3 linked regions of the Sus scrofa genome follow. The protein of the gene in region 1 purifies or fractionates together with the protein of each later gene. This does not show direct contact. Links are inferred from orthologs where the notes say so. Each region holds a gene or a part of one and is shown in the gene's direction. Other genes may lie near its edges.

Evidence for each region.
Region 2: the proteins of H2AFZ (region 1) and MBTD1 purify together in Homo sapiens (affinity purification with mass spectrometry; 3 studies listed by BioGRID and IntAct, with this or other methods). This does not show direct contact. The link is inferred for Sus scrofa from reciprocal best matches to the Homo sapiens genes H2AZ1 and MBTD1.
Region 3: the proteins of H2AFZ (region 1) and TRRAP purify together in Homo sapiens (affinity purification with mass spectrometry; 3 studies listed by BioGRID and IntAct, with this or other methods). This does not show direct contact. The link is inferred for Sus scrofa from reciprocal best matches to the Homo sapiens genes H2AZ1 and TRRAP.

Annotation. Positions count from the first base shown.
Region 1 is NC_010450.4:120,561,855-120,567,125, forward strand, and holds H2AFZ (histone H2A.Z), read left to right. Parts: upstream 1-1,897; 5' UTR 1,898-2,082; coding exon 2,083-2,085; intron 2,086-2,528; coding exon 2,529-2,606; intron 2,607-2,888; coding exon 2,889-3,002; intron 3,003-3,340; coding exon 3,341-3,470; intron 3,471-3,747; coding exon 3,748-3,809; 3' UTR 3,810-4,169; downstream 4,170-5,271. UniProt on the Homo sapiens protein: Variant histone H2A which replaces conventional H2A in a subset of nucleosomes. Nucleosomes wrap and compact DNA into chromatin, limiting DNA accessibility to the cellular machineries which require DNA as a template.
Region 2 is NC_010454.4:27,459,358-27,464,528, reverse strand, and holds part of MBTD1 (MBT domain-containing protein 1), read left to right. Parts: exon of another isoform or gene 1-107; coding exon 108-185; intron 186-3,835; coding exon 3,836-4,027; intron 4,028-5,171. UniProt on the Homo sapiens protein: Chromatin reader component of the NuA4 histone acetyltransferase complex, a multiprotein complex involved in transcriptional activation of select genes principally by acetylation of nucleosomal histones H4 and H2A.
Region 3 is NC_010445.4:6,024,014-6,028,002, forward strand, and holds part of TRRAP (transformation/transcription domain-associated protein), read left to right. Parts: intron 1-1,720; coding exon 1,721-1,924; exon of another isoform or gene 1,925-1,998; coding exon 1,999-2,193; intron 2,194-3,989. UniProt on the Homo sapiens protein: Adapter protein, which is found in various multiprotein chromatin complexes with histone acetyltransferase activity (HAT), which gives a specific tag for epigenetic transcription activation.

The DNA of each region.
Region 1 (5,271 bases):
CATGAGCTGTGGTGTAGATTGCAGACGCAGCTTGATCCTGCATTGCTGTGACTGTGGCATAGGCCGGCAGCTGTAGCTCCGATTTGCCCCCTAGCCTGGGAACCTCCATATGCGGCGTGGCTGCAGCCCTAAAAAGCAATATCAATTAATCAATCAATCAAAAACATTTATGTTAAAAATGTAAGGTAGGGATTATTATGGATGTGGATTTACGATTTAGGTGGAGGGATGACTTATAAAATACTAATATAGGTGAAATATTATTTGGGAAAACAATATCAACACAGAGTCCCTCCCTCTACCCAGCAAATCCTAAAGATCAATAATAGATAATGAAAGGATAATATAAGACCCTAATTTTTTTTCCCTTTTTTGCCTTTTAGGGCTGCACTCAGGGCATACAGAAGTTCCCAAGTTAGGGGTGGAATCAGAGATGCAGCTGCCAGCCTACACCACAGTCACAGCCATGCAGGATCCCAGCCACGCATGCCATCTAGTCCACAGCTCAGGGCAACCAAGGATCCTTAACTCACTGAGTGAGGCCGGGAATTGAACTCGCGTCCTCGTGGATACTAGCTGGGTTCTTTAGCGCCAAGCCACAACAGGAACTCCCAATTTTTTAATTTTAAAATTAACAGCAAATTTCCAAAAAAACTTGATAAAACTTTCAGATTGAAACCCAAACTACAGTACTAAAGAGTATATATTTCAAATTTTCTTAATGTCAGAAATACTGAATTATGTTTATAACGTAATTACTGTTAAAACTCCAAGTATGAAAGATTTGGATCACTACTGTCTCCAAGCAGCTGGACGTGTACAGAGGTGCTATTAATCTATTAGTTGGAAAATTAAGTAGCTGGCATTATGATAGTACTGTGTGTACAGTACTATTTTTTTAAGCCCATCATTTGCATTTGATTACATGGACCATCTGTAACTGCCTGTGAATCATATGAGGACATTTACCGAACATTTGTCAAGTAGCAAAATGTTTAGCATAGAAGAGTTGACACATAATAGCCTTCATGTTTCACTAAATCAACTTTAGAAGCCAGGCTATAGGTACAACCCACAGACGTGTAGTCTTTAGAAAAATATGATTTGATTAAAGAATACCGCCTCAGCCCAAGCCTTCAGTGGGTAGACCAAAAGGTCTTTTATGACCAGCGAGGTGACTTTGCTTCACCGTCTTTTCCATGAAACTGTTCTGTTGGGGTTGGGGAGGTAGGGGGTTCAAAAAGTCCTGAGAAAAGAAGAGGAAGGAGATACAGCTGAAAAAGTGGGAGCAGAGGGTCGTGATGAATCGGTGGCTGGGCACTTGCCTAGGAGGAACAAACGCGAAATCACTACCCAGACTATGGTTAGCGAAGGAGTCGGGGCGCCTTTCACTGGACGCCTTCGCGCCACCTGTCAGACCGGAGGTGTCAACGGGAATGCAGGGGGGTCGGTGAAGGTACCCCGTGCTCCGGAAGAAGGCTGCGGACAGGCGGGTCTCTGCCCGCCAGGTGTTCTAACGGGGCGGAGGCGGAGGGAGGGCAGGGCAGGAAGGAGGGAGTGCTAGTCCCCGCTTTCCGAGGTCTCTGGAACCGAGCAAGGAGGCAAAGGTGGAATAGGGGGCAGCTACTGCGTGCCCCTCCCCTGAGCCTCTCAGCTCCTCCCTCCAGGCACGTGACTAAGCCGGCGGGTGCCCTGCTCAAGCAGCGTAGCTCGCTCTGTTTCTTCCCTCCCGCCGCTGTGCCCTTCTTCTCCCGGGTTCCCATCCCTCCGTTCTCCCCCACCTCCTTCTCATGCCCCAATAACAGCTCGAGCTGCAAAGCGCCCGCCCCTCCGCCCTTTTCTTCGCTTGCTCATTGGCTGAGACTTCAAGGACGCGGCCCGAGGGCGGGTGGCAGCCATTGGTGGGATGAGCAATCCGAGTTCCCGGATGAGGGAACATTCTGCAGTATAAAGGGAGCGGGGAAGGCGGGAGACAGCGCAGTTTGAATCGCGGTGCGACGGAGGAGTAGGCGGCGGGATCTCGCTTGGTGACTGACTAGTCCTTTCTCTGCCTTGCTTGTTTGAGCTTCAGCAGAATTCGAAATGGTAAACTTCGCGGAGGCGCTCGAAGACTACGCGGGTTTTTGCCGGCAGGAGAAAAACCCGTTACACACGGAGATGGGGGTGAAGCGGTGACGGTTGGGAACGCGCGGAGAGAGGATGTGGAAGAGCGGGGGGAGGTGTTTTGTCGGCGGCGAGCGGAGCAGCCTCCGATCTCGCGGCGGGCGGCGACGGTTGGGTGGCGCGCGCAGCGCCGCTGGGAGCCGGAGGGCGGTGAGCGGGCGGCCTGAAGCGCGCGGCCGCGGCGGGCGCGCAGCGGGGGGCAGGCGGGCGGGGTCGCCCTTGCGGCGCGCGGCGGGCCGGAGACCCCGGCTGGGCACCGGGCCCCGCTCGCGCCCGGGCCGCCCCGCGGTGGGGGAGGGGCGCGCCGCCTTGGTAATCCTGTATTCTGCGTTCCTTCTTCGCTCGCGGGCGTGTGCGCGCCGCAGGCTGGCGGTAAGGCTGGGAAGGACTCCGGAAAGGCCAAGACAAAGGCGGTTTCCCGCTCGCAGAGAGCCGGTTTGCAGGTCAGTGGGGGTTTCTGCTGTCTGGGAATCGCGGCGTTTTTCTCTCCTTTTTCTCTGTTTATCATTGCACTAGATGAGCTTTTGGTCTTTGCGTGGTGATGGTGTCGGGACTTGGTTTACCGATACAATAAATATTGGGGAAGGGGGGGCGATCACGTGTGGCGATGCTAGGGCGCGTTGCTGCATCAGCCTCCGTGCCCCTTGCTTTGGCGCGCGTATAATTTGACCATTTTTGGCTCCTCTATCTTTGTGCATTTGTGTTTGTGTATGCGAAAAATGAAGTTTCCGGTGGGCCGTATTCATCGACACCTGAAATCTAGGACGACCAGCCATGGACGTGTGGGCGCGACTGCCGCTGTGTACAGCGCAGCCATCCTGGAGTACCTCACCGCAGAGGTAAATGGGTGTACGCCTGTAATCTGGAAAAGGTGGTGGGGGGAGGCGGTGAGAGGGAAGGAGGAAAGTGATGCAAGAAAACTCCCAGGCTCTGAACGCGGTGAGAAGCTTCTGACAACGCTAGAGGGGGCTGGTGTTCATTTTGGGTTCCTCCTGAGCTTGAGTTGACTGCTTTAGGAAATAAAATTGCGTGTCCCCTTTATAGCTTTTGCATATCTTGCCATTCAGGTAGTGGGGGGAGACGGCAGTTGGTAGATACACGTTCACGAAGGTTTGATTCTTCTGGATCTTGATCCTAAGGAAAGTTGGCAGGAGATTGATTAGATTCTGTCTTCTAGGTACTTGAATTGGCAGGAAATGCATCAAAAGACTTGAAGGTAAAGCGTATTACTCCTCGTCACTTGCAACTTGCTATTCGTGGAGATGAAGAATTGGATTCTCTCATCAAGGCTACAATCGCTGGTGGTGGTATGTAAATACTAAAAATTTTTTAATTTCTTTAGATAATTCTTTACTTTTTTCCCCCACTAGAAGAGGACACTTAGTGTTATTTTCAGTGATCTGTAGTATGGTTGCATCATGAAAATTGATTCCTGTATATAACTTAGTGAATTTTTACTTCTGCATACTCTGGCCTCACATTTAAAGACTTCTTCGAAGTTGAACGTTAAACTGTCATGGTTTTGAAGTCCTGTGTTAATTTTCAAAATAATGTATATTTAAAAGTATCCCTTTCCTCCCCTAGGTGTCATTCCACACATCCACAAATCTCTCATTGGGAAGAAAGGACAACAGAAGACTGTCTAAAGGATGCCTGGATTCCTTATTATCTCAGGACTCTAAATACTCTAACAGCTGTCCAGTGTTGGTGATTCCAATGGACTGTATCTCTGTGAAAAACACAATTTTGCCTTTTTGTAATTCTATTTGAGCAAGTTGGAAGTTTAATTAGCTTTCCAACCAACCAAATTTCTGCATTCGAGTCTTAACCATATTTAAGTGTTACTGTGGCTTCAAAGAAGCTATTGATTCTGAAGTAGTGGGTTTTGATTGAGTTGACTGTTTTTAAAAAACTGTTTGGATTTTAATTGTGATGCAGAAGTTATAGTAACAAACATTTGGTTTTGTACAGACATTATTTCCACTTCGGTGGATAAGCTCAATAAAGGTCATATCCCAAACTAGTTGTGTATTAAATTCACTTGATTATGATGGGAACAACTTTTGTTTTGAATAACTATCTTATCCAGCAATAACTTAATAAGCACGTTTCTTACCTTGAAATTAAAATGTTAATTTTGTAGATCAACAAACCTCGAAGGCTAAAGCATATATATATTTTTTAATGCTATGAGATGAACTATTAAAGATTTTAAAACTTCAGTAGGAGCTTGGAACTGGACAAGGTGATGTTTTTTAGGTTAAATTTGATCATCTCAATTTGTCGCTGCACTTGCTGTTTGTGACAGCAGCACTACATCCAGAGCACTGTCATGGACTGGGGCAGGTAGGGAAGTTCTGTATATTGCTACCTCCACAGAAGGTACTTTCAGTATAAACAGTGAAGTGTTTCCTGTGTTCTCCCACTGTTTCAAAGGCTACCTGGATTAAACTGTTCAGTATGCACCATCTAATCCCGTTTTTACAGAAAAGAATCAAGGTTGGAGTTCCCCTGTGGAATAGCAGATTAAAGGTCCCGTGTTGTCACTGCAGGGGCTCCAGTGGCTGCTGTGGTGGGGGTTTGGTCACTGCCCTGGGGAACTTCTACATGCCTTGGACTCACCAAAAAAGAATCAGGGTTTCTCTGAAAGTCCTGAGTTGATCATATTTGCTGTCATGGCTGTCTTTACTGAACATTGTATGAAACGATTATTTTGTGGTTAAGTTGATTGGATCGTTTTGACATGACACTTGGCTTCTGACAAGTTCTTAGTTTTTGAAACTCGGATTAGGTCATTACAAGGCTCATCCTGCACACGGAGACCAGTATGACAGGTATAGCATTTCACAGGGGTAATGTGAAAAAAGAGTAGGGAGAAAACCAGCAAATAGATACATGATGGTAATACATTCCCAACGAGCTGATTCCTTCCTCGTTTTGGTCATGTAGGATTATTAGGGTTCCGGTTTTTCGCCAGAGTAAAGGCAAACTGCAAATTGTGTTTACTTTAACTCCCGGATGTACTAAGGAGATGGTTTTACTGCAGCTGGGTCAGGAAAGTGCTGAAAGAGGCAATGAAACAAGCCCTGAGTTAGGGTCGAAAGGCCC
Region 2 (5,171 bases), on another chromosome or scaffold:
TTTTTAAAACATTGTATACTTTTATAAGCGTAATGTTCTTGGTGAACTAAGTTGTATCTAGATTTGTAAGGAGTTGTCTGGTACCAATTTTCCCTTTTATTTTTCAGCATCAAGAGAAAGCCAATCAGGTTCATCAAAGCAGAAGAAAAAGGCTAAGTCCCAGCAATACAAAGGACATAAGAAAAGTGGGTCACCATGTGGTGTTTATATACACTTTGTAACTTGTTAACCAGTTGGGGTCTTAAATATTCTTGCACAGAAACGATACCCTTTTTGAGAGCAGATAACTGTGCATTCTGTATTATGCTTAAAGGTGCAGTATGCTATAAAAGGCAAACCTTTTCAGTAATGAGAAACACTTACCTTTGATAGGGGAAATTATTACCATAATATTTAATATGTGGTAAAGAATAGAGTCTGTGGACAATTCTTGAAGTAACATGTAAACCTTCTGAAAATTAATCTTTTTTAAATCTTTAAGAGTTTTACAACTTTAAAAGCAGATGCTTACAATAGACTTGGAGATTAATAAACCCATCCTTATAAATGAAAACTCTTTCTAGAATGATGCTTTTGAGAAATTCAAGGTGATAGCTAACAAAATCAGACCTAAGAAAAGTTTTCTCAGAATGCTCCTGTGCGGCAGGTTCAGCCCCTGGCCCAGGAACTTCTACATGCCATCGGTGTGGCCAAAAAAAATTTTTCTTGGGACTTCCCATGATGACTCAGTGGGTTAAGAACCCAACTAGTATCCTTGAAGATGTCGGTTCAATCCCTGGCCTCGCTCAGGGAGTTAAGGATCTGGCGTTGTCGTGAGCTGTGGTGTAGGTCACAGACGTTGCTCGCATCTTGTGTTGCTGTGGCTGTGGTGTAGGCCAGCAGCTCCAGCTCTGATTCAACCCCTAGCCTGGGAACCTCCATATGCCACAGGTGCAGCCCTAACTCTGATTTTTTTTTTTTTTTTAATCTTTTTTCCCCCAACATAGGAAGCCACAGATTTTTTTTCTTCATGAAACTTGTGGAATATTTTGCTCTGAGATATGGTTATTTTTATTTAAAGTTTTTTTTTTAAGTAAAAAGTACATTCGAGGATTAAAATTAAAACAGATTTTTCCAACTAACTTGCCCTATGTTCAAGGATCCCCTGTGGCATATGGAAGTTGATTGAACCTGAACCACAGCAATAACCTGAACCACTGCAGTGACAGCACTGGATCCTTAACCATCTGTGCCACAAGGAAAATCCAGCCCTTATCTTTTTGATCATAAATGTTTGTTTATAATTTCTTCAGTGAGAAACCTAACTTCTAGCAGCCAGTGCAGTGGTTCTTTGGTTTCCTCCGCATAAAAAACCCATATCAGCCTCACAGTAGTGATAACCATCAGGCCCCTAACCCTCTCTTTCATATTATAGACATAAGCCTCCTACAGTCCCAGAATTGTTTTGCCACCCAGCTGCTTACCATGTTTGATCACTAAGCTTTCTCTAAGGCTGAGTAGTACAGGCCGCTTTGGCCTGTCTTTTCACATTTTATTTGATAAGACTTTGAGATATCAGGATTTTCTTTCCATAATGTGTGGAATTTCAGAACATTTTTTATTACTTAGTAACTGTGTGATGTATGTTTTTTAGATCTAATTTCTGAGCATTGTATGCACAGATCGCATACCTCAGTTGGTGTAACTCTTACTGGGTTTGTGGCTTATGGGGTGTAATGATTTTGAATGAATGGGCTAGGGACATGGGAAGAAATGTGAAATTAATAAAGTGGTAATATCATTATCCTAGTTTTTAGTGATAACAGTACTAGATTTCAGGATTAGCTGAAAAACTGGATATAGCTACAATATGATGTGTCCTTTAACTTTTAGTAGCTCTTAATATTATGACATCATCTCCAATGCCTTTAAATTGTCCTTTGGACATAAAAAAGAACTGTGGACCCACAGTCCCTTATTAGAAATCCTTAGGCCAGATGTGTTTTGAAATTTAGAATTATTTGGATTTTAGAAAAGAAGTACATTGTTTGTAGCATATATTATGTAACATCCCTTGTAGGCTCTGCAGCATTTCCCAAAGCAAAATATGCATAAATAGTTACATTTAATGGGCTAAATAAAGGTTATAAATAGTATACCAAGTAAGGTCTGGTTTTGTCGCCAAAGTTGTGCCGAAAAAACTTTGAATTTTTGGAATTAAGGATAAGGAATTGTAGTTCTGTGTGCATGAAGAGGCAGTCTTCTTGTAAGGGTACTCTTTGCTCCTTTAATTTTTTTTTCACATTACTCGGCAGCAAGTAGTTTATTACAACCTTTTCACACAAAACTTTATTTACCAAAATAAGAAAGAATTGGGGGGTCCAAGAACTTAAGTCATCCATTGTATGCAGATTTATGTCAGACAGGCTACAAAACCTATTTGGTTTTAAGGTTGTCTACAGATTATTATATTCTGGTTCTGTTGTTTCATCTTTGGTCTTACTGTACCTAAAATCATCCGTCAGTATATTCTTTTGGTAGGGCTTACTTTTTACAGAAATAGATTGGCTTCATTGTCCTAGCTTGTCTTTTGATTAGCTGTGTATGAACATGCTTTATAGCATGAGGGGATAACTATTAACCAGTGCTGTTGAGAAATAAGAGTTACGTTCTGTCAAGAGGATCATTGTATGCAAGTCATCTATCCAATCTGAAAAGCCTTTTTTTCCTCAAGGTTTAATAATTCTAGAGCAGGAAAATCAACACTAATTTCTGTACCATCTTCAGGGGCTTTTGTAAGTAGTAGAAAGGTAGAAACTCTCCTGGCATTTTTATCTCCAAGTGTGTGGTACATTAGACTCTTGTCTACATGATTGCTGCAAATGATTTTGGTTTGGCAGTTGAGAATTAAATGTGTACTCATAGGAGCTTGGTTTCCAGATCATTTTACATAGGAATACTGTCTGACTTGTATTTATCTTTTTAGTCCTAATTTTGCAAAGCATAATTTCTAATTGATCCTGCCTGGGTCATTTGTAAGAAAAAAAAAAAAAAAAACACTCTTAAAGAAAACATGTAATTTATAGTCACAAAGCTATGTAAGTATCCTTCAGCTTTCAACCTATTAATGCAGAATGCTTGTTTATTCAATATTCGCAGAGCTTAGATTATTATTTGTTGGTGGTGAAAGCATTGTGTAAGTCTTCGAAGGTTTTTGTGTGCTTATGAAACTCTAATGAAAAGTGTTTTAGAAGAAATTAGATTGCTTACAAACATGCAGTCAACAAATGTTTAAACTTTAGAACTGCTTTTCAGATTAAGAATTATGACTTTCCTGAAAGAGTGGATTATAAACCGAAAGTTAGAGAAGTACATTTCATATCAGTAAAGTCCTGCCACGTGTCAAATACATTTATTAAATTGTTTGATTTCTCTCTGAAGGACAGTGTTTGTCTTACATGGGCAGCCACTGACTTTGGCCTGCAAGTAGGGTTTTTAAACCCTCTCTCTTCTAGTGGATTTTCAGTCCCCTCAAATTAAAATTTTCCCAATTAGCCAGCTAATTCTTCACACTCAGTGCTCTCTATAGTTCATTTTGCTTTCTTTTGTTTTCAATGGAGAGTCAGGATCCAGGATTTGGACTTGCAGAGACTAGAAATAATCACCTGTCATCCATTCCGCAGCCCACGCACGCACACATACATGCCCACCCACCCCTTGGTTTTAGAAATGCAAACCTTGCATAGTTGGCTCTCTTTTCAGAGTACCCTATGCAATGCAGCCTTTCCTAGTTATGATGCACTTTTCTTACCACACATGTAAGTAAAAGCTTACTTTAGTTTGACTTGATATTTAGAGAGGAAGATGCCAAGTGGGAAGAAGCCTGTCAGTTTGTCGAGCCTACCCATGACAGGTGGGCTGCGGAGGAGCTTCTCTGGTGACGAAGAGTTGACTCCTCCTCCATATCGAACCCTTCCAGCACAGACAGCCTCGGAGGCCTTCCCACCTCCCCGCACTAGCCGAGAGTTCAGTCCCAGCCTCAAAACAGGTAATTAGTCCCATCAGCACCTCAGGTACTGCAGAGGGTCAAGGTCTGGGTTCGGGTCGGGGGAGCGAAGGCGGGGGAGAGAAGGCATGGTCTGGCGTGACAGATGCTGGCTCATTAAATTTTTCTTTTTCTTTCAACTGAAAATTTCATTTTCACTAGTTCTTGATAGTCACTTCACTAAGATGAATCATCAGGGAAAGACTTTTATTTTGTTATAAGCCACTTCTGAGCTTCAAATTCAGATAGAGCTGTAATTTCAGTTTATGAAATTGCGAGACAGCTTATACTATTTCATGGTCTCATTAAAATAGTTGAACATCTTCCATTGTAGAATTCTATGTTACTTGACCTGGAGGAGAAATAGGCCATGAGGGATCAATCCGATTAATCAGATCCAGAAATGAGGCTTTGTTCTTAGCATTCCATAGCATCTCATTCAGTAGAAATAATGTGTTTTGTGTTCCTTTGTAATTTTGGTTCTGGTAGTAACATTTACCACAATTTTAGTTGAATAGCATGGACTTGGAAATACATTATCAGTATAATTTGGGTGTTGAATTTGAGCAAAATTTATTTGTGTAATTTCGTGCTTATGTAGGTACAGTGATTTAAGTAAGTGACATTTAGTTGAATTGGTTAGGCCAAGCTGGTAGAGTGTAAGAAAGACTGCCCTTTGTAATTGCTAAGAACAAACATGTTATCATAGAATATCAGAAAGGCTTCAGTTAACGTTTGGTGAGTCTTAGAGATGAGTACAGATCACATAGCTTCAAAGCCAAAGTTGTATCTGCTGTGGCCTGTATTCTGCCGTATCCTAACTATTGCTTTTACATTAATTTTTTAATCTGACTGGCATTCTTTAAAATGCCTTCTCTATGTTGAAAATGCTGATGGGACTTAATACCCAGCTCTGTTTTCTTCTCATTGCTCTGTTTGCTAGTATTTTTGCATCTGAAGTTGTCATCAGCCATTTTTTCGAGTATTAAGATGTGTTCTTTAGCTTTTGCCTTATTAAACAGTGTGTTAGGTGATCTTGATCCTTCCTAGTCTGTTTCTCTGAAGATCACGCTCATCTTTATATCTAGATAAAATCACTATATATACCTCTTTGTATAAAAAAGTAGATTAGGACTGCAAATCCAAG
Region 3 (3,989 bases), on another chromosome or scaffold:
TGCTGTCACTGCCTCAAGCACCTGCCTGAACGCTGAGTTCAAACAGACTCCAGCCCAGTGAATGGGAGTTTTTTTCAGGAAGCTGCCAAAAGGTCAGCTGTGACTGTCCTTCGGGGACAAGGCCTTTGTGGGGTCACCACATCCATTCCGCCCACTCCAGTGGCTCTTAGGCTGCAAACTTCACAGCTGCCATGATGGCAAGGCTGTGGTTGTCAAGGCCATCATGCAGCTGGGAGATGGGGATGGGACAGTCGTTTTTTGTTTGTTTCCTTTTTGTAGCCATTCCTGTGGCATATGGAAGTTCCTAGGCTAGGGGTCTAATCAGAGCTGTAGCTGCTGGCCTACACCACAGCAACGCCCGCTCTGAACCGTGCCTGTGACCTACACTGCAGCTCAAGGCAATGCCCTTAACGCACTGAGCGAGGCCAGGGATCGAACCCACTGTTGGGTTCTTAATCTGCTGAGCCACAACCGGAACTGAACTGCAAAAGGCTCACTGCTCTCACCAACGGTCGCCCCCCCCCCCCTTTTTAGTAAAAGTTGCTCGGGTTGTTACAAGCCTCTAAGTTCCAGAGTTCTGGAAAAGCTGGTTTTGATGGGTGGTGCGAGTTCTTAGTGCCCTTACGGAGCAGCGGACCCTGGAGGTGCTCCCTTTGCTCTCTCAGGTGTGCTTCTTTCCACCTGAGACGGAATGAACAGGAACGAGGCACGGTTGATGATCTGCAGAGCTGTTGGTTGCTCAGGGCCTGTGTGCCCGTGGGTGGCAGGGCACAAGGGTACGACTCGGCCCAGAAGAGGCCTTTACCAGTTGGTCTCTCAGGGACTTATCCAACTCAGTAACCTTTTCATTGAGACCATTCTCTGATGTTTGAAATAGCCTTATGAGCCTGCTAGTCCAGAATTCAGTTTAAAGTGTGGTGTAACATCTAAATTTTTTTTTTTTTTTTTTTGTCTTTTTAGGGCAGCATCCGCGGCATATGGAGGGTCCCAGGCTAGGAGTCAAATCAGGGCTACAGCTGCCAGCCTCCACCATAGCCACAGCAACACAGGATCTGAGCCACGTCTGCGACCTACACCACAGCTCACAGCAATGCCAGATACTTAACCCACTGAGTGAGGCCAGGAATCGAACTCACAACCTCACGGTTCCTAGTCGGGTTCGTTAACCACCGCGCCACGATGGGAACTCTGCATCTAATCTAATTTTAAATTCAGTCCTTCGGTTTATAAAATTTTGGTCTTCAGTTGCCTTAGTTACGAAGTATTCTTTTGTTCTTTTTGTTAGTTGGTCTGTGTGTTCTGGTGTATTGGCCAGTTACAGTGTTCAGACTTTAGCTAAGTTCTCGGTGAGATGGGTAGTCAGTTGGCTGTCATGTAACTGAGGCTTTTATTCCCGCAGCTCCGCTGTTGATTTGGGTACAAGACAAGGAGCCTTGCAGGAAATTGACGCGTTTTGTGCGTCCTCAGGGTTAGTCCAGTGAGACAGCATAAGTATTTGCCAGCAGAAGCCACCGTGCCGGTGCTGAGCAAGAAAAAAGTGACAGGGGTTCCCTTGCGGCGCAGCAGGTGAAGGGTCTGGCATTGCCGCTGCGGTGGTGGGGGTTCAGTTTCCGGTCCCGGAACTCGCACGCGCCGTGGGGGGCAGAGCGAGAGAGGAGCGGCAGTCGCGCGTCTTCTGCCCGGAGCAGAGGCGAGCGCGGCGGCGCGTGTCTGGTTCCAGGTGCTCCGCGACATCCTCAAGGAGGTCCAGAGCAACATGGTGCCGCGCAGCATGCTCCGGGAGTGGGCCCTGCACACCTTCCCCAACGCCACCGACTACTGGACCTTCCGCAAGATGCTCACCATCCAGCTCGCGCTCATCGGCTTCGCCGAGTTTGTGCTGCATCTCAACAGGCTCAACCCCGAGATGCTGCAGATAGCGCAGGTAAGCCGCGGCGCGCGGCCGGCCCCGCTCCCCCCGGCCCGGTCCCTGCTTGAGCGCCTCCCTCTGACGTCCAGGACACCGGCAAACTCAACGTGGCCTACTTCCGATTCGACATAAATGACGCGACCGGAGACTTGGACGCCAACCGCCCTGTCCCGTTCCGCCTCACCCCCAACATTTCCGAGTTTCTGACCACCATCGGCGTCTCGGGCCCTTTGACCGCGTCCATGATCGCCGTGGCCCGGTGCTTCGCCCAGCCCAACTTCAAGGTGGGTCCCGGGTGGCCTGCAGGAGCACGGCCGCATGCTCAGCGCGTGTGGGCTCGGGAATCGCGGGCTCTGCTGAAGAGGGAGGAGGCCCCGGGGCAAGAGCTCTCATTGCTGCACAGCTGCACTTACTCACTTGGGGAAAGGGGTTTTTTTGGTGGTTTTTTTTGTTTCTTTTTAGGGCCACACTCGCGGCATATGGAGGTTCCCAGGCCCGGGGTCGAATCAGAGCTACAGCTACTGGCCTACATCACGGCAACGCGAGATCCGAGCTGCGTCTTCGACCTCTACCACAGCTCTTGGCAATGCCGGATCCTTAACCCACTGAGTGAGGCCAGGGATCGAACCTGTGTCCTCATGGACGCTAGTTGGGTTCGGCTCATTATCTCTGAGCCACACCGGGAACCCCCAAGGGAAAAGGATTTTAAGATGTTCTCTGTCCACGAGTGCTGCCAAGAGCAGTCTTGAAGCCTTGGCTGGAGAGTTTGGCTTGACTGTTAGTACTGCACGTCCGTTTTGTTCGCTCCTTCTGTCCTTCGTTTTGCAAGCCTTTCTGCTCTAAAAGGACACAAGCGTGTGTCACCGGCTCCTGGCCTACTGGAGCTGCAGTGACGTGCAGCACATGTAGCCTAGTGGTGAGGCGGGGCGGGATGCCCTCGGCCAAGCCAGGGCGTGTGACAGGGAGGGTGGACAGGTTCAGATCCAGTGCATTCTGACCCCAGCCTGTCTCTCCTAGTTGAGGACGGAACACAATTCGTGTTTTTCCTTTAACTCCTGAGCCCAGCTGTACTGTTGGTTGTTTTCCCAGATGAGCACCTGGGGTCCTGGGAAGCCTCCAAAACCAGTCCCTGTCGCAGAACACTGAACAGGTTTTAGGGCACAGGTACCAAGCTCTTAACTCTGAGCAAGGACTTGACGCCCTTCCTAAGGTTTGGTTGCTCACGCCCGTCACTGTGGAATGCTGCTCTGGGTGGAGCCATTAGCTGTGATGAGCAGGGGGCGAGCAGAGCTTTTTGGCTTCGTGTGAGTAAGGGGTCTGCGCCGGAAGCCGTGAGCCGGAGTGCCCTTTCATCTACTCAGGCTTTTTTTTTTTTTTTTGTCTTTCTGCTTTTTCTTGGGCCGCTCCGCGGCATATGGAGGTTCCCAGGCTAGTGGCCTCATCACAGCTGTAGCCGCCGGCCTACGCCACAGCCACAGCAGCGCGGGATCCGAGCCTCGTCTGCGACCTACACCACAGCTCACGGCAACGCCGGATCCTTAACCCACTGAGCAAGGGCAGGGTTCGAACCCGCAACCTCATGGTTCCTAGTCAGATTTGTTCACCACTGAGCCACGACGGGAACTCCTCAGCCACTCAGGCTTGAGGCTTGAAATGCCAAGTTCTGTTCTGTATAGAAAGTTACCCTTCTGGAAGCAGTCTCAGGGTGAGACTGAAGCCGTGCACGGTGTCAAGACCTCTCACAACCTGGAGCCGCACGGGCCATCTTCGCACAGCCTGCGCTGGTCCAGGTGGAAGGAGCAGGGCCTCTTCCAAACTCTGGGCCCCCGTTTCTTCACAGCCTGAACATGGTGAACGCCTCCACATCAGGCTGGTGTAGAAACGGTTCTGTGTGGTACTGTCTTGTAAAAGCACGTTCCGCTGACGCCAAGCAACTCAGAATAAAACCCTCCGCGCGGGTGGGTCTGCAGCAGCTTCCACCGCCCTGGTGCCTCGCAGAGTGTCTGTGATGGGCCGTGGCTGGCGTCTCCTTGTGTGAAGCCCATCAGGTGGCCATCCCTGCCTTTTTTCTTTTTTAAAG